Linked DNA regions of Notamacropus eugenii. The main gene of each other region encodes a partner of the protein of the gene in region 2 in a complex. Links are inferred from orthologs where the notes say so. Each region holds a gene or a part of one and is shown on either strand. Other genes may lie near its edges. The genes, in order: PRKAG1 and PRKAA1.

What was found.
Region 1: the proteins of PRKAA1 (region 2) and PRKAG1 are in contact, whole or in part, in a crystal structure (PDB 6C9H), measured with the Homo sapiens proteins. The link is inferred for Notamacropus eugenii from reciprocal best matches to the Homo sapiens genes PRKAA1 and PRKAG1. Residues at the interface, in NP_006242.5 of Homo sapiens: Ser295, Ser296, Thr297, Met298, Ile299, Asp301, Glu302, Lys305, Arg342, Glu347, Ala348, Phe351, Tyr352, Leu353, Arg369, His371, Pro372, Glu373, Pro376, Phe377, Asn449, Val451, Thr452, Thr536, Pro537, Arg538, Gly540, Ser541, His542, Thr543; in NP_002724.1 of Homo sapiens: His36, Asp40, Leu41, Ile42, Pro43, Thr44, Ser45, Val50, Leu64, Val65, Gly68, Val69, Arg70, Trp75, Ser77, Lys78, Lys79, Gln80, Phe82, Pro158, Glu159, Ser160, Gly161, Asn162, Lys170, Arg171, Lys174, Phe175, Leu178, Phe179.

The regions. Positions count from the first base shown.
Region 1 is NC_092874.1:220,883,919-220,899,679, forward strand, and holds the start of PRKAG1 (5'-AMP-activated protein kinase subunit gamma-1), read right to left. Parts: upstream 7,189-15,761; 5' UTR 7,085-7,188; coding exon 7,076-7,084; intron 3,541-7,075; coding exon 3,492-3,540; intron 1,437-3,491; exon of another isoform or gene 1,272-1,436; intron 1,055-1,271; coding exon 686-1,054; intron 547-685; coding exon 488-546; intron 248-487; coding exon 202-247; intron 98-201; coding exon 43-97; intron 1-42. Other genes in the region: KMT2D (histone-lysine N-methyltransferase 2D), read right to left, coding at 10,142-10,234, 10,341-10,449, 10,549-10,622, 10,790-11,075, 12,609-12,739, 12,851-12,987, 13,616-14,729, 14,914-15,041 and 2 more. UniProt on the Homo sapiens protein: AMP/ATP-binding subunit of AMP-activated protein kinase (AMPK), an energy sensor protein kinase that plays a key role in regulating cellular energy metabolism.
Region 2 is NC_092875.1:419,368,390-419,384,049, reverse strand, and holds the start of PRKAA1 (5'-AMP-activated protein kinase catalytic subunit alpha-1), read right to left. Parts: upstream 6,163-15,660; 5' UTR 5,968-6,162; coding exon 5,841-5,967; intron 1-5,840. UniProt on the Homo sapiens protein: Catalytic subunit of AMP-activated protein kinase (AMPK), an energy sensor protein kinase that plays a key role in regulating cellular energy metabolism.

The DNA.
Region 1 (15,761 bases), on a different chromosome or scaffold from region 2:
GATGATGACTTTTCCATTCTGAAAAAGCAGATGGCAGCTCACCTGGCATTAGGAGAGATGCAGACAAGAGGTTTAAAGGAGTCCTGAAGGTACACCTCTGAGAGGAGAAGAGATGATTTACACACAAAATGCCACCAAAGAAAACAGCTTCCCAAGAAAATGTTCCAACCCTTTGTCTCCCTGTGACTCCCTACTACGAACCTCTCCAGGTTTCTATCTTATGTTCTTCCAGCTCATAAATCTGTACCTGGAATAGAGGTAACAGGGTTCGGGCTTTTATCACTCTATTCCAATAGACCCCCAACAGACTGTTCCCTGGGAAGTGGAGCAGGGGGCAAGAACTGTGCGCACTATGGAGGAAAGCAGACCCGAGGATGCAAAGAAGACACTGTCAGAAATCAGTGGCAGGGCTTGGAGGTGGGACCCAAAGAGGAAATCAATGGTTCCTGACTATGGCATCAGAATCAACGGGTTATGGGTTTCTCACCAAGGCTGACTTGTAGTAACGGTGTAAAATATTGATGAAGTCAGTGATGGTCAGCATGCCTGGAAGCCAAATGAATACTTAGGAATCGTACTGTCTTCCCCTTAGAACACCCTCAGATGAGGGAATCCCAAATGCCACCCTCAACTTCCCATCATGCCTACCATGATGATATCATCCATCCTCCGGACCCCTACTTACCCACAAAGCTCTGTTTCTTGCTGTCCCATAATGGGGCTGCCCGAACTCCATTTGTGACAAGGGCAAAGAAAGCTTTCTTTACCTGCAAGGAGGGGATGAGTAATAGAGAAGGAAGGGTCACTAGGAGAGAAATTGAGGGAGGAGGAGGATAAGAAGCATAAGGGGAAAGAAGGGTAAGAGTAGCCCTACAAATGGCTTTGGATGGGATATATAAAGCAGAGGCCTCAGGGAAAGGGTAGAGGATAAAAGCTTCACTCACCTGCAGGGAGGTATCAAACACAACCAGTTTGGAACTTGTGGGGATCAGATCATAGCATCGATGGGATTTCATGAAGCAGGTATAGACAGCGCTGTTGGACTCTGGGGTCTCTGCATAGCATGAGGGGATTAGTGTTCTCCATTCTGCTGTGTGAGCCCTGCTCCCCCTTCCCCCACCTCTCTGTCAGAGGGCTATAGCTTCCCAAATGGAGAGGTCGCTCTCCACGACACCCTCCCATTCCATCCTGCCTCATTCTTCTTCCTCCCACCAAACCTAGACAAGGATTTTTTGAATCCATCTAATTCTCAGTTTCCCAAGGCTAGAGACCATTTCATCTTTCAGCAGGGCTATGTCAATTCCTGTCAGGTAGAGAATGTTCTACTCAGAGTTCTCCAAAGGATAATCTCTTAGAAGTCTATTCTTGTCTGGAAGGTTCTTCTCTGAGCTAAGTTTTTTCACCATAACTTCTGTTCATTCTCTCTTGCTCTTCTCCTGGAATAGAATAAGAGTCTTGTGATGCTTCAGAGAGCTTTTGATAGGAATGAATGGTTGCCTTATCCAAGCCATTCCAATTCAATACCATGTTGGTGTGTGTTAGTAAAACACCATGTTGGATGGGACTTCCTGCTTCCTGTATTTCCCTCCAGCAGTCTAAGGTTCTGAGGATGGGTCTAGGGTGAGGTCAGGCTGGGTGTAGGATCCTGAAAGTCTTATTGATGGGTAAGAAAAATCCACAAATAGTCTGTACCACTAATAAGGCCTTGAGAGAGAGGGCAAGTTCAGAATCCAGTGAAAACTGAGACTATCTCCATATCCTTTGTCAAACTAGGGAAATATCCATAGCCTGCACTGTCCTACCTCATCCTGTGCCCAACATGGATTTTTTTTTTTAATATAAAGAAGAGAGCTATCTCTATCCTTTATCCTCAGCCATTATTCCAAATCCCATAGAGCCTCTAGAGTCTCTGAGGCTAGTATAAAAGTCTGTCTGGGAAGTCCACAGCAGCTTCAAGGAGTTCCAGAAATGGTGAAGGGGGGCATATTTAGGTCCTCCTAACTGGCTTCCTTGCTTTCCACTCTTCGCACTGCTGCCCCAATAATCTTCCTAATGTCAATAATCTTTTCAATAGCTTTCAATGGCTGCCCACTACTTAATGAATTAAAAGCTCCTTACCCTGGCACCCAAGAGTCTCCATAACCTTCCAACTTCCAACCTACCTTTCTAGTCCTACTTCATACTATTCATTTTCTTATACCCTACTTTCAGAACAGACAAGGGTAGCTTTTATCCCCACTTCTCATCCTTCCCTCACTCCTCTCCAAACTTGTACTGTTCTCCTGTTTAGTTAATTTTCCACTCTACCTCCTAATGCTGAAAGTCTCCTCCTTCCCTTAAAACTCAACTTAGATACCAGTTCCTTCAGGAATTATTCCCTTTTCCCAACCAAATCAAAATGATCTTCCCTAAAATTTCACATGCTACTTTTCCTGGATCACTCCTTCGTTATCATAGTTATTTGTGTACATGTGTTTCCTTCTACCCCCTTAAATTATACGTTTTATAGAGGTTGTGTGGCATAGTGGATATAAGATTGTCCTGGAAGCTAGGAAGCCCTGGGATCAAATCTACCTCTATTGCATACCGGCTATGTGACCCCAAGCAAATCCCTTAATCCGTCAGTACTCTAGGCAATTTTTTAAGACTAGAAGTTTCAGAGAAGGTACTGATTGGATTGGTAAATGAAGCTTCTTCAGCTGAAGGAGATTCCCTATACCAATGAAATCACAGGTCAAGTCCTGATTCCTCTCTCTATCCATCAGGGAAGGTCTACGTCATCTCTTTGGAATCTTAATGTCCTACGGCAATAGAAATCTTTTTTTAAAATAAATGGAAGATTATTTCATTATTTTGGGGTGAGGTTCGAAAGCCTGTCACACAGTATAGAGAAGCAACTGTAAAGGCAATTCAGGGTTCTTTCATAATGGCTCAAAACTGACAGGAGTTTGGGAACACTGTAGGACTGCTAAACCCTGTGTCTTGGATTTTATTACTATATCCCTAATCCATTCTATTCCTGACTTGAAATGCTGGGAAAATGTAGAAGTCTTCAAAGCCATCCCAGATGTGAGGGTACACACTCAGATGCTGGGTGACAAAAGACTGGTGGTTCCTGGCTCTGGGGTCTTTAATAAGTAACAGGGACTTCTATAATGTGGTCTTCTAGCCTATAGCTCTCCCACTGACAACAGTTCAGAATCTCCCACTGAAAAAAAATCCTACTCTAATTATCTAAATCACTTATGACAATCTTAATAAGCACCCCTATAACACCAAACTTATTCCTGTTGTTCCCTATATAAGCTCTTGATTCTAATTCTTATAAAGCGGCCTAATATCTCTGGTTTTTGGCTCAGCCCTGATATCCCCAGCATGTACAATGGGAGAGAAACAAAACCTGCTGAAACTGAAGACCAATTATAGACTGGTCACTGGTTTTCACAGAAGTACCCATCCTTCTTGGAGTATATCATGATGAAATATATTACCTTCCAGAGCTGGGGTGCATTTTTCCATACCACTCTCTGGAATAGTGACCTGGAAGGACAAACAAAGGAACTAAGCCTAACTTAGGATCTACTAACCTCATTATGTTTCTCATGGCTCTTGAATCTACCCCTCCCCCAACAATAAGGAAGGCAGCATAAAAGAAACAATGCTTTAAAACTGACACCAGTGATTCCTGGCCTAGGCTAAGCTACAAAAGCTTTTGAAAACGTAGCCCAAAATGTGGGCCCACACCTGACTCCCAAAGAATCTGCTATGGGGGTCAAAAACAGGATAGTGGGATATCAATGCCTTCCCCAAGTACTATCTTGAGCATAAGGACCATGCCACTTGGTCCCTAATCACAAAGACAGGGAGAAACTGGCAGCCAGTCAGTCATCACCACTTGAATGTCTGAAGGATAAACATGAAACATGTTCTGTAGCTAAGAAGTTTTTTCGAAATTCCAACCCAATACCTTTTGTCAATTCAGTGGATCAGTCAACAAGTATTTATTAAGCTCTGACTACATGCCAGGCACTTCTCTAAGTACTGGAGACAAAAAGAAAGGTAAAAAATAAACAGTTCCTGGTCCCCAGGAGTTTAGTCTAATGGAGAAACAAGGGAAGAGAATAAACATTTATTAAACACCTTTTTCTATGTGCCAGGCCCTGAGTTAAAGCACTTTACAAATATTATCTTATTTAAGCTTCACAACATGCAAAAACTTATGTACAAATAAGATATATACAAGACAAACAGGGGATAGTCTCAGAGGGAAGGCACTAAGATTACGGAGGACTTCTTGCAGAAGGTGGGCCTTTGAGATCTGAAGAAAGCCAGAGAAGCCAGGAGGTAAACATAAGGAAGGAGACTGTGCCAGGCATGGAAGACAGCTGGTGAAAATGCTCAGAGTCGTTAGATGGAGTGTCTTATTTGAGATCTCAGCATGTGGAGGATAGTAAGAAAACTTTGAAGGCAGGAATGGGCCAGGTTATGAAGGGCTTCAAAAGCCAAAGAGAAAATTTTATATCTGATCTGGGAGAAAATATGGAGCTAAAGGAGTTTACAATGGGAAGAATGATATGGTCAGACCTGCACTTTAGCATCACTTGATGAGCCAGAGCCTTCCAAAGCCAAGAGAAACACTAACTGCCTCTACTTCCTGGTCCTAGGGACATAGAGAGGGTAAAGGGGCAGTTCCTGCCTCCTTCCCTAGCTCAGAGTAACCAAAACTTGGGTAAATCTGTATACTTCCTGGAAATGTCAATGTTACCCAAAAGGAGTTATGCTGATTTCTATCTGTACTAGTAGCTGCAATTCAACATATTCAGAAAATGGTTCCAAAAACTGCATTTTTGCCCCACAAGTTTTTGCAAAAATGTAAGGCTAAAAGATCTGGAGTCTTTCTGCTGGCTAGTGAACAAAGGTCAAAGGCAAGCTGAAAGGACAGCTTCCCACCCCCAAAGGAAGCAAGAACCGAATTCCATTGCTGCTGTCTGCTGCGTGTGACATTTTGGCAATGCCACTGGAACAAATCTAGTCACCTGCATGTGAAGGTTACTGAGCAATGCAGATACATACATGTATACAGGAGACACAGACAAGATCACACAACATACAAAAACCAAAGACTGGATAACATAAAGAGAGACCAAGAAATGGAGCAGTTGTCCACTTTGGCATTTATATACTACCTTGTATTGTGATAATTTTTTCATATACAAATATCTTGTCTCCCAAACCAGAATGTAACCTCCAGGAAAGCAGTAATCTCAGTACCCTAGGCACACAGCTGGTACTCAATAAATATTTGTTGTTGAACTTCCACTAAACTTCCCATTATGATGCCTCATTATATATTATGGAGGTAACCTGCAGTTTTGTATTAGATACTATATTACAATGACAAGTCCTATACCAAGCCAGAATGGTTCAGACTTCAGGCTCAGTGATTAGCCTACCTAAATTCAGAGAGACTCATCACCAAAAGGATGGTTACCAAGTGATGATTTTTTTTGACACAGAAACTTATATATCTATCCAAGCTGTAGAAAAGCTTCATTTCTTTATTGGTGGAAAGAATATTTATATGGATGGAATCACAGATTATTTGAATTACTGCAAAACATTATGATGGTGATGTACTGGAAGACGTAGATGGTCAGAGTGCTGCACTAAGACAGAAAGATAGACAAGCACAGAATAGATACAAACATACATATGGCTAAGTAACCTTATCTTTATGAATCCACTTGTATTATCTGCTCCTCAAAAATTTCTGCTCCCACCTACCTCCCAGAGATGGTTATAGAATGAACTGAGATAGTAGGTTATTTATGAATGTGCCTGGAAACAAAGTTGCTATGTAAACCATAAGGGAGCAATAGAGGGGCACAGATGATTTGACACAAATAAGACATTTGGACTGGAAAACTGGATTTGTAGAAACACAAATGTACACAATCTATACAAATGTATAGACCTGGTCACATGTATATTCAGAGACATACCTAGACAGACACTTAGAAAGATAATTACAGCTAAGTTTGTGTAGCACTTGAAAGTTTGCAAAGAGCTTTACATATTATTTGATACAAAAAGTCACTAATAGGATACAAAGAGTCACTTAAAAGAACATAATTAGAAACATTAAATAGCTCTTAAGTACCTACAATGTGCAAAGCCCTGTAACTAACTTAAAAGAAGTTCCCAGGGTGGGGGAAGAGGCCAGTGGACGGTTATTCAATAGCCACGGTTCTTCCCAGGATGTTTTCTAAGGACATTTTTCCCATGCTGGTCGGATCCTTCTTAGCTACTTCCTTAAACTGCAGGGTTGGACTCTTTCAGGCCGTACATAACTTATCCTGAGTTTTACTCAGTGATCAGAATGAGGACAATTTAGCTCTTAGTATTCCAGCTCTTTGCTGTTTTCATCACAGTCCTTAGTTTGCATGCCCCATGTCACTGAATCTCAGACTCTTAAAACTGGAAGAGGTTTTGTAGACCGTTGGGTCCAAATGCGCCTAGAGAGATGAAGTACCTCGCCCGAGATCAGTTCATCGACGGCAGAGCTGTTATTTGAACCCAGCCCTCCTGCCTCCCAGTCCAGTCAAGAGCACTTTCCCAAATTTACAAGGTTGACGTCGTCCCTATGTCATTTTTTGGAGGTCCCACTTTTACCCTTTGCAAAGGAAGAAAACCCGTTTTTTGTTGTTGTTGTTTTAAAGAGAGGGGTAACAGCTAACGTGAAATGGGTGGGGCGACCCCTGGAAGGAGGACTACGGCCATGGGAACGCTCCGCAGGGACGGGCTGGCACAAGCGGCCCGCGCCCCAGGCTCCCTAGCGCCCGGAAGGGCCCGGGGCCCAGGCACCGGAGGGACGCCCGCCCTCCGCCGAGCAGCTTCCTAAGGCGAGACCTCGGCGTCAGGGCAGCCCCGGGCTCCGGGACGGACAGCCCAGACAGGAGGTCCGGGGTCCCCGCCCCCTCCCTCCCTTCCTCAGCCCGGCAGCGGGGAGCCGGCTGGCCCCGGCCGGGAGGCGCCCGCCGCCAGGCCCTCCGGCTGGCAGCCCTCTCCCTCTCACCGTCTCCATCCCGCTCCGCGCCAGCGGCTTTCGTGCCCTCCGGGCCGCTTCTTTCCGGATCCGCCCCTTTCGTCACTTCCGGCACCGCCACCCTACTTCCTCCCGCGTGACCTAAAGACGCGCGGCCTCCGCCCTTCCGGTAGCGACCAGTCGCCTGCGAGCGGCCGAAGGGGCGTTGCCTTTCCCCCTCCCTTCCCGGCCTTGGCCGGCCCCGGGCCGCTGGCGGCGGCGCTACCGAGCGACTCCAGGCGACTTGTATTTAAAATGCTTTTTTTATTTGTCCTTTAAAAACAAACTTGGAAGAAGCAAAATCCCAAACTTGCCCTTTGCCTCTCACAACATAAATTATGTACAGTTCATAATGATCGCCGATACAAAACATGCCACGGACGGGGGCTCGGGGCGGGAGGGCGCGGCCTAGAAGGGGTCATTTCATCCGTTGTTACGAAGGACAAACCTGGCTGTACAGCATACACAACACAAAGTCAAGTCTCCACGGGATTCACACTGGTCAGCGGTTTTTATCCAAGGGAGGCCGAGGGAGGGAGGGGGAGGAGAGTCCTGGAGATGAAGGGGAAACTGAAAATGGAGGGTGTGCGTGTAAACCAACCCAAAACACGAACGCGGGGTGGGGGCGGGGCGCTTCCGATGCGTTGTACAAGCGGGGAACTAAGAACAACAGAAAACCAAAGTTCCAACCTTGCAGCCTGGGTCTGCGTGATAGTTTGTATCAAAATTAAAAACTGTATAAGGTTCTTCACTAAGATCTACAGGACTACCAGATACCTAGCATACCTTACAAAGTCTGCCCCCAGCCCAGACCCTGCGCTGGGCTCCGCTCCGGCCCGAGGGCCTTCTGCTCTCGGAGAGGAAGAGGTCCGGCGGCTGGGGTCGTGCGGGCGGGGTGGGGTGGGGGGAGGGCGCTAGAGAAGCCCAGTCTTGCTCCTGGTTTACTTACAGCAGCTTCTCTTTGCTCCCTGTGGAGCTGGGGGCGGGGGTGGGGGGGGTGGGGGGGGTTAGGAGTTCTTTTAAACCTTTGCATCTTTAAACAAGTTGCGGAAGCAGCTTTGTCTTTTTCCCTAAAAACAAAAAAATCTTCAGCCTCCTCCCCACCCCTGCCACCCCATTCTGTCTCAAATTAAAACACAAAACAAAAACTTCAAAAGAAAAAAAACAACTAAAAACACAACAGCGACTAGGCTCCCTGCTCCAGCCCTCTCCACTGGCATCACCTTCATCCTCATGCTCCAGATTTCTGATGCTTTAAAATAATTACAAAACGCCCTTTGCCCACAGCCCCTAGAAGAGAGAACTGAATAAAAACTTCATCTGCAAATCTACGGCTCCCTACCAGAGAGGGGCCTAGGGGTTACTTCAACACCCCCCCCACTCCAGGAAGAGGTTCAATCACCTGCAGCACAAGTTAGGGAGGGAGATAGGAGAAAAAGGAGGGAGGGGACCCGTCACCCTCTGGCTCCCTTAGGGGCCAGATCACTTTTGTGCGTTATAAAAGTCCAACTGTACATCTGGGAGTGGGGAAACTGAGCCCAGCCCCTGTCCCCTCCCCTCACCTTTACAGCAGTCACAGCCAGGGGATGGGGGGGGGTGAGAAGCAGGGCAGCAGGTCTGGGATAATGGAGGGCAGCTCCCCCACAAGGGGAGCTCCAGGTGTCCCTCCCCTCGCCCCCTACCATTTATAAACTGGTTTTGTAAAAAGAAAATAGATATATTTATATAGAATATATAAAGCACAAAAATTAGTAGTTTTACATTTGCTCTCCCCAGGGGGTGGGGGGGAGAGGGGAGGGTTCTCACCTCCTGCTGGCCCCCCCATGCCCCACATGACTATATACAATCCGGCTTATAAATAGATAAATACCCCCCCACCCTCCCCACGATGACACTAAGCTCCCCTACCCCCAACACCTCCCTTTCCCACCAGACCAGCAGCAGTTTGGTGGCTGGGGAAGTAGGGAGCTCTGGGCCCCAACCTGCCCCACGGGGAATGGGTACACAACTCAAGAGAATCTCTTTCCCCTCCAAATCCAGGGAGAGGCTGAGGGAGGCACTGGGCTCATGATGGGGTTGGGAGTACAAGAGGAGGACACCCTGGTTCTGAAACACAACCCCAATACCTCTCCCTTCCAACCTGTTCAGAGGGGGAGAGATGCCCAGCCTCTGAGGGGATCGAGGGGTCACCCTCTCTCAATCGCTTCCCATCAGCCCTAGTCACTACCCCATGCCCACAGTTAAAAACAGATTTTTTTTCTAAAGGTTTTCCTTTTTACCCCCCCCTCCCTGCTACCCCCAGTTCAGACAAGGGGTTGAGGGATCAGAGGGCTGGGGAGAGGGTCTCACATTTCAAAACAGCAAAAAATCCAACACTTAAATGAGGTAGGTGTGGGTGCAGGATCTCCTTGCCCGGCTTGCCTGCCTTGCCCGCCCCACCCGGGCAGCTGGGTGCCTCTTTCCCGTTCGTGTTGCATTTGTCAGAGAGAAAACAAGGAAACACAACCCAGAAAGAGAGAGATGGAAAGAGGGACAGAGAGAGACATAGAGGAGAAGAGGGAGACAGAGAGAAAGGGAAGATGGGGGTTGGGAAGTAGGGACAGGACCCAGCGGGCAGGGCCAGGTGTGGGGACCCAGCCTTTGGGATTGTCAAGCTTAATCAAGTCTCTTTGCAGCCTTGAGTTGGGCTGGGGACGTCAGTGGGAGCACTGGGGCTGGGAGACCCAAGCTGCCACCCTCCTCACCGTCTCTGCTGCCTCCTAGACGGTGCTGGGTAGTTCCCAGCCCATATCTACCCAACCCCCCCACCCCCCGAACCTGAGATGCCCAATGGCTGTTTCTGTCTGTCGGCTCCTGGAGCTGGGGGCAGATGTGCCAGCCTGGGGCCTGTGGTGGGGGAGGGAAGTCATCCCTGGTGCCCAGAAAGGGCCCTGAGCCCCGTCCTGCTCCTAGGGCTCTGGTCAGCCAGCAGCCCCAGCTCTGGGTCCTGGCTCTCTTCCCCTTCAACCCTTCTGGGAAGGGCTCTGGAGGGTCTCCCCTGCCCAGCTGCCTCTGAGCTTAGTTCATCCACTTTCGGCAGTTCCAGGCTCCACAGTGGCAGGGGATTTTGTGCTGGTCATCCTCAAAGTCAAACTGATAGTCATAGGTCAGCTGGGGAGGGAAGGGAGAAAGGATCAAGTCCAGTCAGGCTTAGGGAAAAAAAAAACATACAAAGGAAATCACTGCCAATCACATCATTCCTAAGACTTCCTCTCACCTCTTCTCCTTTGGGGATGCGCCGGCTGGAGATGATAATGATCTTATCCTCCTTATCAAAGGTCACAACCTCTGCTACACAATTAGGGGCACATGAATGGTTAATGTACCTGAACCGGAAAAGACCAGGGAGTGGTCAGTGTCAGGGGAACAATTCAGGTTAGGGCCAGTTCTACCCTGACATGCCCCTCCCTCCCTCTCCATCTTACCTGGCTGGCCCTCCAGTAAGTGTGGCATCAATCACATGCTCATTGTTGATACGAAACATATAGATACCTCGATTCTGTAAAGAGGAAGGGAACAGGAGAAACAGATTCAAACAGATTCAGGCTTTCCAGCTTTCCACAAATATCTCTCGTTTTCCCTTGAAGACTCAAGTTTGCCCGCCATAGCCCCATCGTCCTGAATCCCCGGAACATTCTACACACAGCTCCTCTCCTTGGCCCTAACCTGCTCCTCATAGATCTTCTCACGACGGTTGGCCACCTCATTTCGAATGATGGTGCCAATGTACTCAATGACCATTGTGTGCTTCTCCAAGTCCTTGGCAGCATACAGCCCCAGGCCCTGAATACGGGATCGAGCCAGGTACACGTTGTTCTTCCACTCGGTGCGGAGCCGGCGGTACTGTGATGATTTGGAGTGCACAAACTGTTTGCTGTACGGCGTGTTGGTCTCGCCCGTGAAGGTGCTCTGGTATGCCTTGGACATGCTGGTGCTGTTGAGGGTGTGAGGCCTGGGGACAGCAGGAAAAATGGCAAGTCAGATCTAGTAGACACACAATGATGTGTACCCAACCCCCAACTCTGGGATGTGGCAAATGTCAGCCAGGCCTCAGGACATGTGCTACGGGCATATGGGAAATATAGCCTGGGCAAATAGAGGCAGAACCTGAATTTACTATAAGGGTCTCCATCTTGGTGGGGCAGCAGTTAAAATCCATATGGCCCTCTGTTCAGAAAACCTGAGATAGGTCTAGGAATCAAATAAGCGAAACTTCTCCCATTCCCTGATGTGTGGATACATTCACCCTCTCATGACTAGCCTAACACAGATGCTCTTCCCTCGACCACCCCAAGGACAGGGAACAGTCTATGTCTTGTCATTCCAGTCACTGGACTATCCCTTGGAGCTCTACTCCGAGGGCATATTCAGAATTCTGTTCCTTTACCACATTAGAACAATTCTTGAGAACTAAAGTTGTTTACACTTTTCCCCCTTGAAACAAAAACTACAAACTTTTCCCAAACAGGGATGATATCTCTCTTCCCTTGCCTCTGCACCAACTATTCAATTCAGGAAAATAATTCAGTAAACCTGTTTGACTCCATTTCCCTCCCCCACTGCCCCCTACCCTTCGTCCCTACTCCCCACTCCACCTTCTCCCTCCACAACTACCTAGGCTGTATTCCTGCCCTTCATCTCTGCACACCAGAGATCAAGTCCAGGACTCTTTGCTTGGGGCTTGGTCACATACAGTGACAGAACTCCTTTAAAATCGTTTCTGTCTTCCTGTACCCCAGCTGGTGAGCTAGGGTCCACTAATGGCATAGTGGGAAAAGCACTGAACAAGTCAAGAAACCAGGGCTCTAGCTCTGGCTCCATCTTTGACTTGCTGTGTGACCTTGGGCATGTCAATTAACTTCCTTGGGCCTCAGTTTTCTCATCTGAAAAAAAGGGGGGTAATACCACCTGCCCTACCTACCTCATAAGGATGTTGTGAGGATCAAATGAGATAATGGATGTGAAAGCGCTTTGGAAAAAAAAGTATAAAATGCTATACAAATGTGAGGTTTTAATGTTCTTTCAATTATTATTCCTGGGGCCACCTCAGGTGGACATTAGCACTCCAGGGTACATCTAAAGGCTCCCTTTTAGGCTCAAGGTGGAGGGAGTCAGAGCCCTTTAGAGAGGGGAAAGGGAAAAAACTATTAGCTCCCTCATCCATCACATCAATAAATACCTGCCTACTGCATACCTCCCCAGTTAACACATTTCCACCCTCCACCCCCATTAGTTAGGCAGGAAAGACAAGCTTTAGAGGGGGCCCTGGCTCCAGCCTCCTCTATTCAATATGTCTGAGTGATTCCTCAACGTTTCCAAAGGAAAAGATGTCTCCATTTTCACCCCATCTGTGTTGTGTTCCGCCCCCCTGCCCCCAATTATCCCAAGGTCTCCAATCCTCCACCCTGTTTTCTGCCCATTCCCTTCACTTCAGATCCCTCCCAAACCCAGCTCGACCACAGACTCCCTCAACAAGTAGGCTCACCGTTTGTAGTGAGTAAGGATTTTGGGCTCAGAGCGGGCACAGCCAGTAGGGTTGATCATAAGTGGTAGTTCCATCAGTGGGTGCCGTCCATATCGAAACAAATAGTTGTGACAGCTTTCCACTCCAGGCAGCTGTGGACACAGTGAGCAATCTACCACAGCCCAGGCCCCTGGGAGCAGGGGTACCCCAATTAGCCTACCCCAGAATCCCCTGCAGCCCACCCTGCCCTCCTCCCACCTTACCGACTCTGCAATTCGTAGGACAGCATGTACTGTCAACCCAAAGAGCTCCTCGCCCTTAAGATACTCCGGGAATAACCGAAGCATGTCGGCTTCCTTGCGCATGGCAGCCACTGGTTCAATGATACGGTTCCACACAGCTGAGGGGAAATCAAATGACCATCAAAAGACTTATTTCCCCCCATATCTGGGCTTTACCCAGATACAAGAGTTATTTTTTATCTGTGGCTCCCATGACCTATGCCAGGGGTGGGAAACCTTTGGCCTCAAGGCCACATGTAACCCCAAGGCTGCAGGTTCTCCACTCCTGACCTATGCCTTGACTCCTTCCCTCTAAAACAGGAATGGCACCCCTGTGGGTCAGACCCTCTGCTCTAAAGACAGTGAGGAATATAAAGTAGGAATATCAAAAAAATTATCTCTTACCCCGCTCCCTCCACCCCTAAATATAGTCAATACTAGTCAGAGCTTCATTTAATACCCTAAGTAAGAGAAAATAACGATGAGTTAGGATCAGATTAAGGGAAGCTTGGACCTAATCTGTGGGGACATGGAAGTAACTCTTTTCACCTCAAATGAGAAAAGAAAAAAAAAAAGAACAGCAGAAAAGATTAAGGTTGAACAACAAAAAACTCTGCCCAGTCTAATGGATGCTAGGCCACAGAAGTTAAAGACTAAACACCAAAGACCTCTGTGAATTACAGCTGGGAAGGAGTTTGTCCTACCCACCCACACAGTACATGGTTCCCTAACTCCCTAGAGCCTCACCCTGGGGGGATGCATCAGTGAAAACCAGGTCTTCCAAGCCCTGTTCCATGACTTTGACAATAAACTCAGGCCGCCCGTTGTTTTCGATGATGGAACAGCGATAGCAGCAGCGCCGATTGTTGGTACGTAAGCTCCAATAGATGCGCGTGGCCTCGTAGCCAACTGGGTAGAGGGCTGTGGCACTGTGGAAGTCGGCCATCTGGTGGGGCAGGAGCTGCCCAATGGCATGGAACACTAGCCCTCCCACCCGGAACATGTGTAGCCGCTCACCACGCTGGATGATACTAGCAATCTGCTTCACCTCATCCCGCTCAATGTAGACACGGCGAAAGACAGCAAAGGAGCTCAGCTCCTGCTCACAGGGCCCCTTAAGCTTGTGCAATGGGCATAGCATCGTTTTATCCTTGAAGAACATGCACTTGGCCCGGATGGCACAGGCAAAGTGGTAGACACTAGGACATCGCAGTCGGTTACAGCTGTTAGTGGCTCCGGTACGCTGGCACAGCGAACACTTGGTCAGCAGCCCTCGGTGGAGGGCGCCCTCGACATTCATCAATGCCCCACCCTGAGTTTCATAGACCTCCGTGGACCACAGGGCACAGTTAAGGTGGACCCATAGGTCCAGATCCAGGTTAAGGAGGCGGGCAGGCCCATCAGTAGCTCCATCACCTTCTTCATGGCAGAAGCAGCAGCGCCGAAGGTCACGGGGCACCTTGTCAGGCCGGAGGGCTGTGCCCAGCTGCTCCATGAACTCAGCCACTTCCCGCTCCCCTTCTCGTCGTCCGCCACCCTTCTGGATGGTCAGCAGCAGCCGTAACCGTTTCCAGCGAAGCCCTTTCCACTTCTTAAGCCGGGGTGGCCGGGAATCCTCACCCTCTTCAGGAGGGCGGGCTCTGGGCTTGGGGCGAGCTGCTTCAGGCAGTGGAGGTGAGGGAACTAGTGGTGGGGGTGATGGGGCTGAGGGTTCAGCTGCGGGGCTGGCAGGAGAAGGAGCTGAGGGTGAAGGGGGAGGAGAAGGCTCCTCAGGTGGTGGGGCAGAGAGCTGACGAACATCCAGGTTGGAGACGTTGTGGATATAGCAGTGTTGGGCAGGCAGCTCTGGAACGGGGCTTTCCTACAGAGACAATCCCATACCATTCAGCACAAGGAAGCCTCCTGACTGTGCCCAGAACACCAGACTGGTATCTACCACTGTTCCTTCCCAAATCCCGGAACTTTCCCCTCTGAGGTCCTCTGCCCTGTTAGCACTGCCCTTACCCCCGACCCCAGCTCTGACCCCTCCCACCCCACGGCCCCACCTGCTTGAGGAGGCTCAGGATGTCTAGTTGGCTCTTGAGGGTATAGCCTGGCAGCACTGCATCAAACTGTTTCAGCCAGTCACTGCCACCTTCAGCGGGTTTTCCCCCTAGGTTTTTCTCTTTACCACCTGTAGGAAGAAGTGAGGGAGAATCCACTACCCTTTGAATCTAGAGTGGCATGGCACGCCTTCTGCCCTGGCCTCCCACCCGATCTGTGCCACACTCACCAGGTCCCTCCGCTTCCCCCTTCTTGGGCTCGGCACCCCCCGCGCGGGCAGGACTCTCTGGAAATAGCACTTCATAGGAGCTGGGGATCTTCATGCTCAACAACTCTGCCACAGCCACCATGACACCATTCAGATTCTGACATATGGGGGGAAGGGAGATGGAGAGAAGCGGGAGAGCTGTGTCATCCGAGAGCCCTCAGTGTGGCACTGCGTTACAGCAGAGGCCAAGGCTCCTTCCCTCTACCCCCTGCCTCCCACTCTCCCCACCACATTGGTATACCTTGGCAGCGGCCGCAGAGACAGTCAGCATGACAGACACCTCACTCCCCTTGCCCTTTTCCCAGGTGTTGGCAGACAGCTTTCCTGTTGGTTCTAATTCCAGAGCCCCAAAGGGCTTGGTATCTGGGAAGACTAAATAGGACAGGGAAGACCCTGAAGACCCAGCCGGTCTCAAACCCTCCCCACCCTCAACAAGAATAAAAACAAAGCAGCAGCTAATTTTACCTAGTGCTTTAAAAAACATTCTTTCATTTGATCCCCACAATACTACTTATCCCAATTCTGCAGATAAAAACTGAGGCTTAGGAAGGTCAAGTAGAGAAGATCAAATTTGAACCTAGG
Region 2 (15,660 bases):
CACTTCTGTCTTCCCAGTCTTCTTAGACCTGATTCCCCAACACATATTCTTTGATCCAAACACACTACCTCCTGGATGTTCCATGAACAAGACATTCTACCTCTTGGTTCTAGTCATTTCTCTGGCTGTCTCTCATGCCTGGAATACTCTTCCTCCTCCACTCTAGCTACTGATCTCCTTAGTTTCCTTCAAGTTCCAGCTAAAATCCCTTCATTTACTATGTCTTCCCCAACCCCTCTTAATTCTGGGGCCTTTCCTTTGTTAATTACTTCCTAATTTACCCTATACGTAGCTTGCTTTTTGGATGTGTTTTGTGCATGTTGTCTCCTCCATTGGATCATAAGCTCCTGGAGGGCAAGAACTCTTTTGCCTCTTTCTGTATACCAGCACTGAGTACAGTGCCTAGCACTTAGCAAGCACTTAATATAAATATGGACTTACTGAAGCACAAAGAAATTAAGTGACTTACCCAGTCACAAAGCTAGTGTCTGAGGTAAGATTTGAACTCAAGTGTTCTTGACTTTGAGACCCATGGTCTATCTATCCACTGTGCCATGTGGATGACTATTTTGACAACTGACTGGATGTCCAAAGTGTCCCAAAAGTATCAGAGCAGTTTTAAGCTTTTATAACTTTAAAATTATACTAAGACTTTTGGGACATGCTGCATAAGGTGAGTGAGGATGACTAGAGAATGACGGAGAAGGTGCAAACTTAGCTGAGTGAAAAGAATGCAACTCTGGACAATAGCATATGTTCAAAAGATGGGGCAATTTGAGAGGAAAGTTAGTGAGTTCTGTTTTAGAACTCATTAAATCCAAAGTTCTAAATGGTAAGTTTGAGATATCTACAGGACAATCAGTTTGAGAGGTCCAACAGACAGCTGAAGATAAGGAACAAAAGCTCAGCGGGGCTGGGTATGTAGATAGAGGAGCCATTTGCATCAAGATATTAAACCCACAAGAGCTGAAGTGACTAAGAAAAATTGTAAAGGTTCTTAATCTGGCATCTGTGACCTTTTTAAAACAATTTTTTATAACTTTTTCAATATAATTGTTTCCTCTGTAATTCTGTGGATATTATGTTATGCATTTCTGAGAAGTCTATAGGCTTTATCAGACAACCTAAGAGGTCCATGAAACAAAAAAGGATTAAGAAGCCTTGGTGGAGGACTACAGACAGTGTCTTATGAGTACACCTACAGTTAGGAGGCACAGCATGGATGATGAACCAGCAAGAAGGACTGAGAAGGCAAGACAGACAAGCAGGAGACAAACAAAAGGAAGAGAACATAATCAGGAGGAAAGGGTGGTCAGTACCATTAAATACTGCAGAGAAGTCAAGAATTAAGAAAAGACTATTAGATTTGGCAGTTAGGAGATGAATGGTAACTTTTAAAAGAGAATGAGAAGAAAAAACAGTCAAGATAAAGTACAAAATGTTTTCTGCTGTGGAAGGGAGGAATTATAGGATGATAGCTTGAAGCAATGATGGGATTTTTTTTAAGGCTGGGAAAGATTTTTAAGGTAGAGAAAAAGTCAATAGAAAGGAAAAGATTGAAAGAAAAGAGAAGGAATGATTATGGAAGCAATATGCAGGAAAAGATGAAAGGGAATGGGATCAAGGATATATGCAGAAGACTGAGAAAAGACACCAGAGGCATCTCTTCCTTTGTTGTTGGCGTGTTAACTCTCATCCTGTGTTTCTTCTCAACACTATTCTTTTCTTTCTGGGTCTGAGGGATGGGAAACCAGGTATTGGAGAACTGTATCCAACAAGAAAACGAGGCTCAGAGTACAGGCCTGAGTGCCTCTCCTATGGCAGGCACACTAGATTTCAAGTTAGAATTGCAAATTAAGAGTTCAAATCCTAGCTCTAGTGAGATTATTTATTTGCTACATTTGTGACAGGGCAAGTCAGTTAACTGGGCTTCTGCATCTTCACCTGCAAAACATGAGACTAGTACAACCAAGAAAAAATGATTGTTGCAAAATTACAAAGAATAAGAAGGTCCCAAAGGAAGAGAGAGGAGAAAGCATTCCCCACCACTCTGCAGAGCTACAAGGTAGATATGGCAAATATTTTCATTGCATAAATTTTCAAATATTTTCAATTCACTAATCACTTTTTCTGATTTTTTTCCCATTTCTTCCTCTTTTTTCCTTAAAATATTCTGTGTTATATGGAATGGCTCTCCGGGAGGGGGGAGGATTAGAGAGACCAGGGGAAATGTAAGCAATGTAAAAACAAAATATATAAATAAAAAATTTTCAGTGAAGGAGTTGGACAAGATGACCTCTGAGGTCCTTTCCAGCTTTAACTAGTCACCTGGATTTAGAGTTGGAAGAGTTCTTATAAAGGCCACCAGGTGGCTCTGTGGGGAATAGAACACCCAGGGGCCTGGAGTGACAAAGGCCTGAATTCAAATCCTCCACCTCAGTCACTTACCAGCTGTGTGACTCTGGGCAAGTCACATAACTTTTGTCTGCCTCAGTTTTATCTCAACTGTAAAGGGGAGATAAAAAGAACACCTACACAGCAAGGTCGCAGTGAAGGAGAAAATATCCGTAAGGCACTTAGCGGTGTCTGGCACATAGTACGTGCATAATATATGTTTGTTTTCTTCTTTATAGGTCATCTAGTACTCAATTTACAGATAAGGAAACTGAGATCCAGGGAAGTTAACTGATTTTCCAAACTCACATAGCTTTTAAGTCAAGATTCAAATACAGTGTTTCTGACTATAAGTTCAGTGCTATTTTCAAGTCAGAACAAGTTTCTATAAAAATTGAGCTCAAGATTCTTCTGTCATCTATAACACACTAACAGCTCCCTAAGTGGCTCCATCCTCAGTCACCTGGGTACTTAAGAAAAATTTTTATCTGAAATTTGCATCACTAAGTACTCCTCTCTTCATTCAATACTTGATAATCTTACTCCAAAAGCTCCCAAGAGCTTTACTTATGACAATGCTCAGCTGGAATATTCAGCTTGGAGTCCAAACCAGAAAGACAAAAACATATGTTTACTCACAGCCACAGACAATTCTGTTGCGGTTCTCTGCAAGTCATAATGGCAAAGGTCCTGACACTCAAATTTTCCTACTTCCAAAGCTGCAAAACTGTCAGCTGAATAACCAGTAAGACCAAGTTATCTGTATCTCTTCCACAAGTAACTTTGTCTAAATGCATTGGAACATTGTAACAAATGCTTTTCCTTAGACCAGATGGATGATCTTGATTTTATAAAAGATTAAAATCTGATGGAATGTGATTCTAAATGGAATAAATGTCAGGTAAAATAGTTTCTAGGCACCAAATCAAGGCAATTTTTGTCAAGCACCTGTGCTGAAAATGTGTCTCCCCTCCATTTTCCCATGCTTCTACTTACATTGACAATAGAGTGGTGACCCAATTATGCTCAAGCTGGGAGAGGGGAAGAAGTACTTTAAAACAAGAACCAGTACATATAATTTTTTAAACAAAACATCTAAAATTTTTACTATGTCAATCCATTTTGACCTAAAAGAAACTAGTTTTATTTGGAAACATCTACTGTCTCAGGTAAAACATCATTAACTTGGAATTTAAATTTTAACAATTAAAAATACAGGAAATTCACATCTCACACACACAAAATTAAAAGACTATCTCTTACTGGTATTGATGGCTGAGCAATCAAGAACAAAAAGAGCCATTATAATTTTAAGGAACAACAGATTCAAAACTGTGGTATGGGAGGCAAAGTGCTCTGACCTTGGTATCTGAAAAGATCTGTGATTGTGTCAGGGCTCAGTGACTCACTACTAACATACTACCCTTGACCTGGAATAAGGTCCATAACATCCCAAGCCTCAGTGTTTTTTCACCTATAAAATAGGAACAATACTTGCACTACCTACCTCAGATAGTTGATGTAAGGATCCAACAACAAAAAAGTACTTTGTGCAAACTGTGAAGTTTTATATAAAGGAAACAAGATTAAAATGTTTTTTCCAGTGGTTCTATCTGTATAAAAAATAAAATCATCCAGACAGCTAAAGGTGGAAAAAAAAGTTTTGAGTAAAGTTAACACTCCATTCACTTAACACCTACCAACTATGTGCAAGAAGACCTCTTCCACTAACAATGATGTTCTACCCTGCCAATCATAACAAAAAGATCTCACTGAATTCACAACAAATTGTTGCTTGAGCAATTCATTTATTCTGCCTTCCAATCTCTGTTTTCAAATCTTAAATGAATATGACTATGTTTGAAATCTTTGGGTGGGGAGGCAGGGTGGTGTCTCTACAATGACAAAATGAAAAATCATGTTTCTGTTAGGTAAATGATCTTAGTGTTAATTCAAGAAGAATTTCAGGTGAAATAATCAAGGATAGTTTAACATCTTTTTAGGATGCTAACAAGTATTTTTAAGAGTACTAATAAACAACACATAAGCTCTAATTGATAGCAGAGCCACAATTCAGTCAGGATCACACAAATCTAAGCCTAAAAGAGACCCACCCTAATAACTATCATTAACCCATTCTGTCATTTTGCTTAAGTTTCTTACATTTATTCAACTTATTGTAGCCCTTGCTGATTTTCACAAGTACTGTTAGGCAGTTTCTCCCTGTGAGCTACACAGCAACTTTCCACTTCTATGACTCAGAAAGGGGCAAGAGAAAGGAGGGTTCTCCTCTCCCCTCCCAAGATAAAATCAGACAATGTTTATTTAGCTCTAGAAGAGCAAGACTTATTTATTTATTTCATCATCCAAACTTTTAAATACTTTTCAAATCAAAACAGTAAATACTGAGCATTTATGTACCAGGTAGGTTGCACCCATAAAACTATTGTAACAGAAAAATTATAGGAAAGGGAAATAAGCTTCCTATCACTATTTATCATAAAAGCCATCCTTATTTCTTCTATTACTCTACCCAGTGGCCAATATCAAATGTTTAAACAGCACCTATTTTGCAATGTTTCAGCATTTGGTGAAAAACAGGAGACGGAAAGTTCCTTGATACTTCATTTCATAAACATGGTGTTGAAATAGGACTGGCAGAGAGAACTCCGGTACAGTTTTTCTTCCAATTCTTTGAAAAAAATATACTTCGCTTCTCAAAAAGTGAATGACACCATGTATGGTAAATGCTGTCATTAGTACCTACAATAAACTAAAAACCTTATTTGGGGTAAGCACGCCAAATAGCTAACAGCTTCGGCAGACACGGAATACAGGACACTTGCTGACTGTCCAAAAACAGTTGAAGGCACAGAATACAGGCAGAACACAGACCTGGCAATACATCATAATAGAAGGAGCGGTTCCAAGACCCCTGAAGAAGGGGTGCTCCAGCTAGACCAGGTGACTTGGTCTACACAGCACCCCCAAAGCTTAACAGGCTGGGGTTCGTGTCACCTGGATTAATTCATTGGCTCGGCGACAGCCAAGAACATTCGCCTCGTCAAGAGGACGGAAATAGTGCCGGGCACGGAGGAGATCTGGGGAGAAGCAGCGGGGACCGGGGGGCCCCCCACCTCCCTGGGGCTCGCTCTGCCTGAAGCCACGGCACGGGACTCGGACCTCCGGCCAGGCGCCCAGCATCTGGCCTCGCCGCCCGGGGCGGACCAGGTCCGAGCCCCGCCGCGCGGCCAGGACGACCCGGGTGGGCACCGGGGGTTCTCCCGGGCTGCCCCCCGGACGCCGCACCAGACTTCCCGGGTCCCGGCGCGCGAGGGAGAGGGGGGGAGGGGGAAAGTGGAGGGATGGAGATGCGAGGAAACGGGGGGTGGGGGGGAGTCCCCCAGCTCCGCGGCAGCGGGACAGCCCGGCCCCAGGGCTCTCACCCTTCACTTTGCCGAAGGTGCCGACCCCCAGCGTGTCCCCCAGGATGTAGTGGCCAATCTTCACCCGCCCGTCGTGTTTCTGCTTCTCCGCGGCCGCCATCTTCCTCCAGGAACTGAGCCTGCGCATGGCGCCCTAGGGGGGGAGGGGGAGGGAGGAGAGGAAGGAAGAGGGCGGGGACAGAGAGGGAAGGGAAGGAGAGGGAGGAGGGGAGACTGGAGAGGCAGAGGGGGGGAAGGGGAGGAGGAGGGGGCCCCCCGAGAGGCAGAGCTGGGAGGGGCCCAGGGTGGGTCACCTCCGCCCAGGAGCCGGCTGTCGCGGCCCGCGCCCCCGCCGGTCCCCTCCTCCTCCTGCGCCGCGCCGCCGCCGTCTGGCCCCAACCACTCTCCGTGGCGGGGGCGGCCGGAGGGGACTGAGTCCGAGGTGCTGGATGGAGCCGTCCCCGGGCCCCGCCACCCCCTCCGTAGCTCCGGCGGCGCCCCCTCTCGCGCCCGGGGAGGACGCCCCGGGCTGTCCCCCCTGCCCGCTGGGGCCGGAGCGCTGGCTGCCAGCCCAGGCGGGCGCTGTCCGAGCGTGGGCAGCCGGCCGCCCGGCGCGTGGCTCTGCTCGAGTCTGCTCTGCAGATGTTTGGGCATAGGCTGGAAACTGCAGCGAGCGGAGACGGGGGAGGGGGGCTGGGCAGGGGTTCCGACTCCAGCCCCCCGTCCGCCCGCCCTGCGCCCCCAGCCTTTGCTTTCCTTCTCCACCGGAGATCTAGAAGTGGCGGGGACCCTGCCTTGGCAAAGCCCGTGAAGGGGCTCCTTGCCCATCCTTAGTCACCCACCAGAATCGCCGCTAACGTCTTAGCCGACCCCTTGAGCCTCTTTCGTATCCCTGGAAAAGTCTAATCTTGTTGCAAACAACTCCAACGTGGCCGACCCAAGGAATTTGAAGTTCTTAAGATTTTGTTGGATAGAATTTTGATTTGCCGTTTATTTAATTTAATATGTATTAAGCCATGTGGTGATGATATACGATCTGTGAAAAATGCAAAGATCCCTGCCCTCACAATGATACAGGGCATACATGAATGACCAGGGGAAAATTCTAAGTCAATATTCGAACTTCTTCATTTTCAATAGAGACTGCATATAAATGCTTGAAGGAATCCAAAGCAATGAAAAGGGGATAATTGTTGCTGTTCAAAGATGGGGGAGCTAAGGGTGTGTGTGTCGCATATCACATAGTTCGTGGGATTTAGCTAAACTTAAAACAACCCGGAAGTATCAATAAGCTATCAAAGATGTAAAAAGATGTGACTGTGGGAAGTCAGGTACTATGAATTGATTGAAACATTCTGAAAAACAATTTGGGGCTACGCAAGAAAAATTCATATTCTTCAATACCCAGAAGAATCCCCTACTGAGACTATTATTCCAAGCAGGTTATTGACTGAAAAATCAAAACAAAGACCCCGCAACTCTATATGTACAAGAATGTTCGTAAGTCGGCCAAACGTTTATTAAGTGGCTGCTGTGAGTCAGATACTTTGCTAAGCACTGAGCATACAAAAAAAAAAAAAAGTGGGGGGAAATCCCTTCTTTCAAGGAACTCAGTCTAATGAGGGAAACAGCATTCGAACAACTACATACTAACAAGTTATAGACAAGATCTATTGTACATGATCAGCGGAGGGAAAGTACTAGATTAAGGGGGATGGGGAAAAGTTTTCCGTTCAAGGTAGGGTATTAGCTGAGACTTAAAAGAAGGAAGGAGCAAGGGACAGGAGAGAGAAAGCATTGTAAGCATGGAGTGGGGGGCAAGGGGGACGAGGTAGAGCCAGTGAAAATGCCCAGAACGGGGAGATAGAGTATCTCATTTGGAAAAGAGCAAGGAAGCTAGGGTCTCTGAATTCCAGAGTATCAAGGGGGTGGAGGTGGGGAAGGAATGATTATAAGAACTAGAATGGACAGGAGAGGCAGGGAACCACAGATTAAAAAGGGCTTTGGATCTGAGGATTTTATATTTATGCTTGGAAGTCATAAAGAGCCACTGAAGTTCATTGAGTGGGGGAGTGGAGGGGAGTGACATGGTCAGAATTATGCTTTAGGAAGATCACTTTGACAGCTGAGTGGAGGATGGGCTGAAGTGGAGAGAGATGTGTAACAGGCAGAACAGTAGTCCAGTCATGAGGAACTGAGGACTAGGTTGGTGGCCGTGTCAAAAGAGAGAAGTGGGTGGATTTGAGAAATATTATGAAGACTGAGGTAACGGTTCTTGGCAATAGTATTGGATTGGGGCAGGGAGGGAATTGGGGATGGAGAGAGAGTTGAGGAGTCCAGGATGACACTTAGGTTGAGAACCTGGGTGACAGGGATAATGGTGGTACTCTTCACAGTAAGAGGGAAGTTGGAGGGGAGGACTTGAAGCGAGCTTTAATGAGTTTAGTGTTGGATATGTTAAGTTTAAGATGTCTATGGAATATTCAGAATGTTCAGGGGACATGGAGATGCAGACTGGGGGTCAGTAGAGAGATTAGGACTGGATAAGTAGATATGAGGATCATCAGCAGAAAGATGGGGTCCATGGGAGATGCTGAAATAGCCAAGGTAAATAGTATAGAGGAAAAATAAAAGAGGGTCCCCAGATGGAGCCCTGTGATACACCTGTAGTTCATGTGTGTTACCTGAATGAAACAAAAGAGACTGAGAAGGAGTAGTCTGGCAAAAGAAGAACTAGGAGAGAGTAATGTCCCAAAAGAAGAAAAGAAGGTGATTAAATGTCAAGGCTGCAGAGAGGTTCAGAAGAATGAGGACTGAGAAAAGGCCATTAGATTTGGCATTGAAGAGATTGTTGGAGAGAGCACTTTTGTTTGAAAGATAAAATTGGAAGGAAGCAACACTGTAGGAATGTAAGAGTAAGCATAAAGGCAGTGGAGGCATCTATTGTGTAGATAACCTTCTCAAGGAGTTCAGCTGCCAAAAGAAGGGGAATTATAAGATAATAGTGACTAGGGATGGATGGAGTTTTTTGAGGATGGGGAAGACTCAGTAGGGAAGCAGCCAGTAGAGAGATTGAAGATAAGTGAGTGGAACAAACCTGAAGAAAGGAGAATGGAATAGATCATTTTTGCATATAGAGAAGTTAGCCTTTGCAAGGAGAAGGGCAATCTCATGTGAGAGAATAAAAGAGGAGATAGGGACAGAAGACATCTGGGCAATGTTTAATGAGGAGGGGAGAAGAAGAAGATCTCAAAGATTTTTTTTTTTTTTTAGTAAAATATGAGACAAGGTTCTTAGGTAAGAGAATGGGAGGAGGGAAAAGAAGAGAAATAAAAAAAAGTTTGGAAGACTTGCTAGGGTGAGGGGGATAGTGAGTTAATTAGGGAGATATAAAAGGATTGCTTTGCAACAGTGAGGGCCCAGTTGAGGTTCTATAACAAATTTGTAGTGAATTGCACTATAGATGTCAGCACTGATTTTCTTGAGAAGCATGTATATAGGAACAAAAGCAGCAAATGTTGGGAGACTGAGGTTTGGGGCATGGTAACTCAAAAGGATGGTGTAGAGTTCACCAAGGGATCACTATAGGGAAATAAGAAGAGGTCTATAAATAAAAACATGCAGAGTTTAAAAATAAAAATAAAACTGGACAAGTACAACAGATAATGTTAGTACCATACAGTCAGAATTAAAAGATATATCCTTTTTGTCAACAATTGATAACTTTTTCAGTGAAAGTATTTCATTAAGAGGTCTGTTTGGGTAAACGTGTTAAAACATATCAAAATTTTAAAAATTAAGTGATTAAATGAATTTGACCTGTTCTCTTTTCTCCCTAGATTTTTTTTAAAAAGCCTTACCTACTTCTATGAGTTTCTACAGCTCTAACCCTGTTCTTCCTGGAAAAGACATTACTTCCTGCTTCTCATTTGAGAAGATAGAAAATATGCCACTTTTCTTTCAAATAACCTCTTAAATTTTCTTTCATGATTAGAGTTGTCAGGTTTTTCTTTTTCTTTTATAAAACCTCAAGATACCAACTTAGCTTGTATTTTCTAATGGCCACTGGGAATTGTGTGAAAACAAAGAACAAAAATTAAGTTACATTATACACACACACATACACACACACACACATACGTGCACACACAGTTAACACAATTACAAGCACTAGTCTTTGCTACCTACACTCACTGAAAATAGTTTAGAATATGAAACTTTGAAAAGAAAAGTAGATGGAAATCTTGCTTTCCTCTTATTATAATCTGAGCCTGGATTATTGCAGTTACTAGTGATGTGACTTTGGACAACTCAGTTAATCTAAGAAACCTTGGTTTCTTATCTGCTAAATGGGGATAATAATAATAAATGTCATAACTATCTTAAAGGATTGTTGAAAACATGACTAATACGGAAATATGTTTTTCATGATTGCACATGTATAACTTATATCAAATTTCTCACTCTCAGGGAGGAAGGAGGGCAGTAAGGGAGAGAGAATTTAGAGCTCATTTTTCTTTCAAATGAATGTTAGAAGTTGTTTTTACATGTAATTGGGAAATATTTTTTAAAAGGATTGTTGTGACACAAATAAAATATGTAAAGTACTTTGCAAACTTTGAAGTACTATAACTGTGTTAGTTATTCTAAATCTCCTATAATCCTTGCCCTTAAGAATCATATAATCTTTTAAAGGAGATATAACCTAAAATTATAGAAATTAGATCGTTTAGTCCAACAAAATGGAAGGGCTTTCATCTGTTCTATAGGATCCATGGCAGGGGCTCATTGAACTTCTGCTTACAGCTCAAATACTTCCAGTGAAGGTCACTATCCCATTACTCAGTCTGTTGTTGGACAGCTCTAATTGCAGCATTGGAAGCTCATTCTTGATTTGCAACTGAAACCTACATGCTTACAATTACTACTCTCTTGGATTCTGTGGCATAATCTTCTTCTGCATGATAATCTTTTAACTCTCTTATGACAACCTACACTCTGCCACTTGAATGAGGCAGTAGATATAACCATACAATACTTTTGTCAGTCAATCAATATATGTACCAGGCACTATATTAAATGCTGAGGATAAAAAATAGACAGGACATTCCCTACCCTCAAAGAGCTTATAATCTAATGGAGAAAGCAACAAGCAAAAAAAAACAAAAAAACAAAAAACCTGTACAAAAATTTTATATAGGGTAAATATGAAATAATTAAAGGAGGGGAGGGACTAGAATTAAGAGGAGTTAGGAAAAGCTTCCTATGGAAGACAGGATTTTAGTGTGTGTGTTCGTCCTTCATTGCTGAAGAAGACCATGCCATCAGAGAAATAATGACATAACTTGCACTTGACTTTGTTGTGAGTAAGGGAGGTCTGTGCAGGTCACCAGCCTCACTTCTCTTCCAGAGCCATCTGAATCCAGAGACCAGATATTTATCAGGATGACTGGAGATGACCCAGGATGAGGCAGAGTTGGGGTTAAGTGACTTGCCCAAGGTCACACAGCTAGTGAGCGTCAAGTGTCTGAGGTGAAATTTGAATTAAAGTCCTCCTGATGCCTGCATGGGTGCTCTATCCACTGCACCACCTAGCTACTCCAAGGTCTTAAAGGAAGCCAAAGAAACTAATAGATAGAGACGAGGAGGGAGAGCATTCCAAACATGGGGGACATAATACTTTAATGTACTCATACTTATGTATGTATATATTTATATATATACATATATACATATATGTAAGTAAAAGTACTTATATACTTTTAATACTCAGCTGAGGCTGTACTGGTATCAGGTAATCCCTGTTTCCTATTGTTTTTCCCACAGAAATAGCTTCAACCATGTCCTCTTTAGTCACCAACTCCCACACTCCAACAAATGAATTCCATCTTTGAGACAGCTGGAGCCATCTAATGGGAAATTCTTCACTTCACCTCTTCCAGTTCTCAAAATTATCAGCATTATCACCCAATCTTTTCTCTGTTTTGCTCATTGAATCTTTACTTGCATCTATGATAACGTTCCCTCTCATTTCCTCTAGAATTTTGATGAACAAACAGATAGACTAAATGAAAAAGCATTTAAATTCTTTCTATAGTCCAGACATCTTCCACATTCTCATGCATCTTCATTTTATCCCTCTCCACTGGCCCCTTCCAGTTTGCCTAGAACATACTAAGGTCTGCCCATTCCTAAAAGAGGAATATTAAATTCCTTTGATCCTTCTGCTTTCATCCAGTTACTATCCCATTTCTCTTCTTTTTACTGTCAAACTTCTTTTTAAATGTCTACATACAATGCCTCCATTTTCTCACCAGTCTACTGAAATTGTTTCCTCAGAAATCCCCAACAACCCACAAATTCAGTGTCCCTTTTTAAGTCTCAATGCTCTCTGACCTTTCTACATTTTTCTTCCTTCCAGATACCATCTCTTCTTTTTGGCTTAAAAACACCAGATTCTCTTCATACTTTTCTATTACATTTTCTTGACACTGCTTTATATTGATTCTCCTCTTGCCTGTATAAATATTGCTTCCAACCTCTTTTGCTGGATCACCATCCTACTCCTTCCCATTAAGTATGAATAGCCCTCAAAGCTCAATCCACGATGAGTACTCTCCAGAGAAAGTATTCTCTCTCTTTGCCCTTTCTCTCTCATCAGCTTTAGTGAATAAAATTATCCTCTCTTTGGAGATAACTCCCAAATCTATATGTCCAGCTTTTTCCTCTCTCCTGAACTACAATCTTACACAGCCAAATGCCTGTTGGTCATCTCCATTAGGCATCTCAAACTCAGCATTTCCAAAATAAAACTCCTACACTCCCACAAAAAAAAACCCCTCATCCTCCATACTTTCCTGTTTCTCTTGGGAGTACCATCATCCTTCTAGTATCCAGGTTTATAATATTAGAGCCATCTACTACTCTTTCCCCCTCCATAATCCTCATATCAAATCAGTTGCCAGGGATACTGGAAGTTTCACAAACATCACAGGCCTTCTCCTGACTCTTTGCCTTTGCAGACTGTCTTTCTGTCTCTTGAAAGTACTTCCACCTCAGTTCCAATTCTTAGAATCCCTAACTTCATCAGAGGCTTAGGTCCATGTAAAGATAGATTGGAGCCTGAGAGTGGTAAGCTTTAAATGCAGGGATGAAGATTTTGTATTTTTATGCTAGAGCAAAGGTTCTTAACTTTTTTTCTACCATGAATCCCTTTGCCAGTCTGTTGAAGCCTATAGATTCTTCAGAATAAGTTTTAAATTCATGAAATAAAAGACATAGGATTATAAAGAAAACCATATTAAAACAGAGCTATCTATCTTTGTATGTGTTTTTTTTAAATGTTTATAGACCCCAGGTTAAGAACCCCTGTCCTAAAGGTTAACAACAGGGAGCCTACCACTCTAGTTATAGTAGGTCTAGTGCAATAGGCTTTTAACGGCTATCTACTCTCTCTCTCTCTCTCTCTCTCTCTCTCTCTCTCTCTCTCTCTCTCTCTCTCTCTCTCTCTCTCTCTCTCTTCTCCAATCCATCCTTCATACTGCTGGTAGCTTAGTCTTTATGCTTAGACCTGGTTATAATACTTCTCTACTAAAAACAAAAAACCTCAGTGGTCCCTGTTCTCAACTGAGTAGAACTCAAATTGCTTCATTTAGCATCCAATGTTTTCCAAAATCTAGCACTATATAATTTTACAGTCTTTGCCCTCTTTCACATGTTCTCCAGTTTAATCAGACTGAAGTACTCACTATTAAACTATACTATCCCTACAAAAGGTTTTAATATTCCCCTTGCCTGTCTTCTCCTCTCTTGTAATGACTATGGTGTTCCTCATCACCACCACATAATCATCACACTCTGTTTTTTCAGTACAAAAACTGGTTTATAACCTTTCATCACCTAATCATCACATGGTATAATTCTGTTTTCACACCACTTAAAAGGTAAACAGAGCAGCAATGTATTCACCAGTGGTATATGGATACTCATTTACTTTTTGGGCATGGAGAGCCACAAGCCTAAAATTCTCAGTGCACATGCATCGTCAGTATATTTCTGAAAGCTGACTTGCATGGTTTGTTTAGAGATCTGCAACACTAACAGTACTGTCACTCAACTCAATGAAGAGCCATAGGCTCAGGTGCAAAGTGAGCAGGCCAGCAGGTGAAGCTGCCAGGAGTAAGTCATATGATATGATAAGACTTGCATCTTCCCAATTGTAATGTATATTCATGAGTATTGCGTGCATCCTAATCTTTTCACCAAGGATAGTTTAGTAATAAGTTATTTTTAAATAATACCAGCACACTATTTTAAAAAAGCTTTGCATAATGGTCACACCCCACTTTTTTGCAAAGAAATTTGGCATAAAATCTGCAACGATTATGTGGTAAAATTCGGTACCTATATCCTCATCTTTTAAGGCCCAACTTAAATCCCATTTTTAACCTTAAAGACTTCCCTGATTCTTGTCAGCTAGTCATGATCTTTTCCCAATCAGACCTCACTCATATAGCATTGTGTTTGCAACTATACTACACTTTACTCACTTGTTGTCTTACTCTGTGTGTGTCATATCGCTGTAAAAAACTAAATTCCCTAAGTGCATGGACTCTGTTGTATAGAAACTTTGTAACTCCAATGGTACTTAGCAAAAAATTCTGTACACATTAGATACTTACTGCTTTTTATATTGAATGTCTCTTCTTAATGTTTTCTTCTCTGGGATCAACAAACCCAGTTCTTTCAGTTCTATCTATAACATGATTTCAAAACTCAATATCCAGGTTGCCCAATGCTGAAAACACTCTGGGTATTCAAGCCCTCCTTCACTAGTGATCCCCAGAATGAAACACAATAATTCATATTTAGCTTGACAAGTATGGCATAGATTATCTTATTATTTTCCCATAACTGTACACCATTTTCTATGAACATAATCTTTGGGAGCCTCAGTGTACCAGGTATGCTGTACATCTGTCCTTTTTCATTGTTGTTGTATGACTAGTACACTCCTTTTTTTGGTCTTACATATCTTTGAAAATATTTTCTGTGTCACTTTTCACAAGTCATAGTAACTTGCTACAGCCTGCTTGTGCCCACTACGTATAATTATCTATCCCAGTTTTGTATTATCTACGAATTTAATAAGCATCCCTCCTATGCTCATTGAGTCATTGATAAAAATGTTGAACATTATAGAAGTATGGACACAGCCTTCTAGAACTCCAATAAAAATTTATTTTGGAATGAAAGAAAGTTTCTACCAATACTCGTTCCAAAACTTATTAATCTACGTAATTTAGAACTCCAACTCTAATGGATCTGTGATCTCATTTATTATGACAGTACAGATCACATTCCATCCATACTTGCCCATCCTGTGTGACTCTAGTCCATAATAAGTTCACTACAAAGTTGTGCCTAACATACTGAGAGCCTTACCTATGTTCTCCCAACAACTTAAAGATACCAACAAAAAACAAATGAGCTGTGCATTAATACCTATATGATATCTCACTACATGATTAGCTCATATTTTTCATTCATAATCTGATGGCAATTCTTTGCACTACTTCCCCTAAATTAAATGTATGGCACAATTAGAGAACAATGCAAAAACTGTTTAGTAAAATCTAATGTTCAGACCACTTTTATATATTTTTCTTTTCTTTTTTTTTTTTTTTGAGGCAATCAGGGTTGTAACCTGCCCAAGGTCACAGAGGTAGTAAGTATCTGAGGCTAGATTTGAATTCAGGTCCTCTTGACTTTACGGCCAGTGCTCTATCCACTTTACTACCTAGCTGCCCTCTTGTTTTCTTAATATCCTCACTAAAGGCAT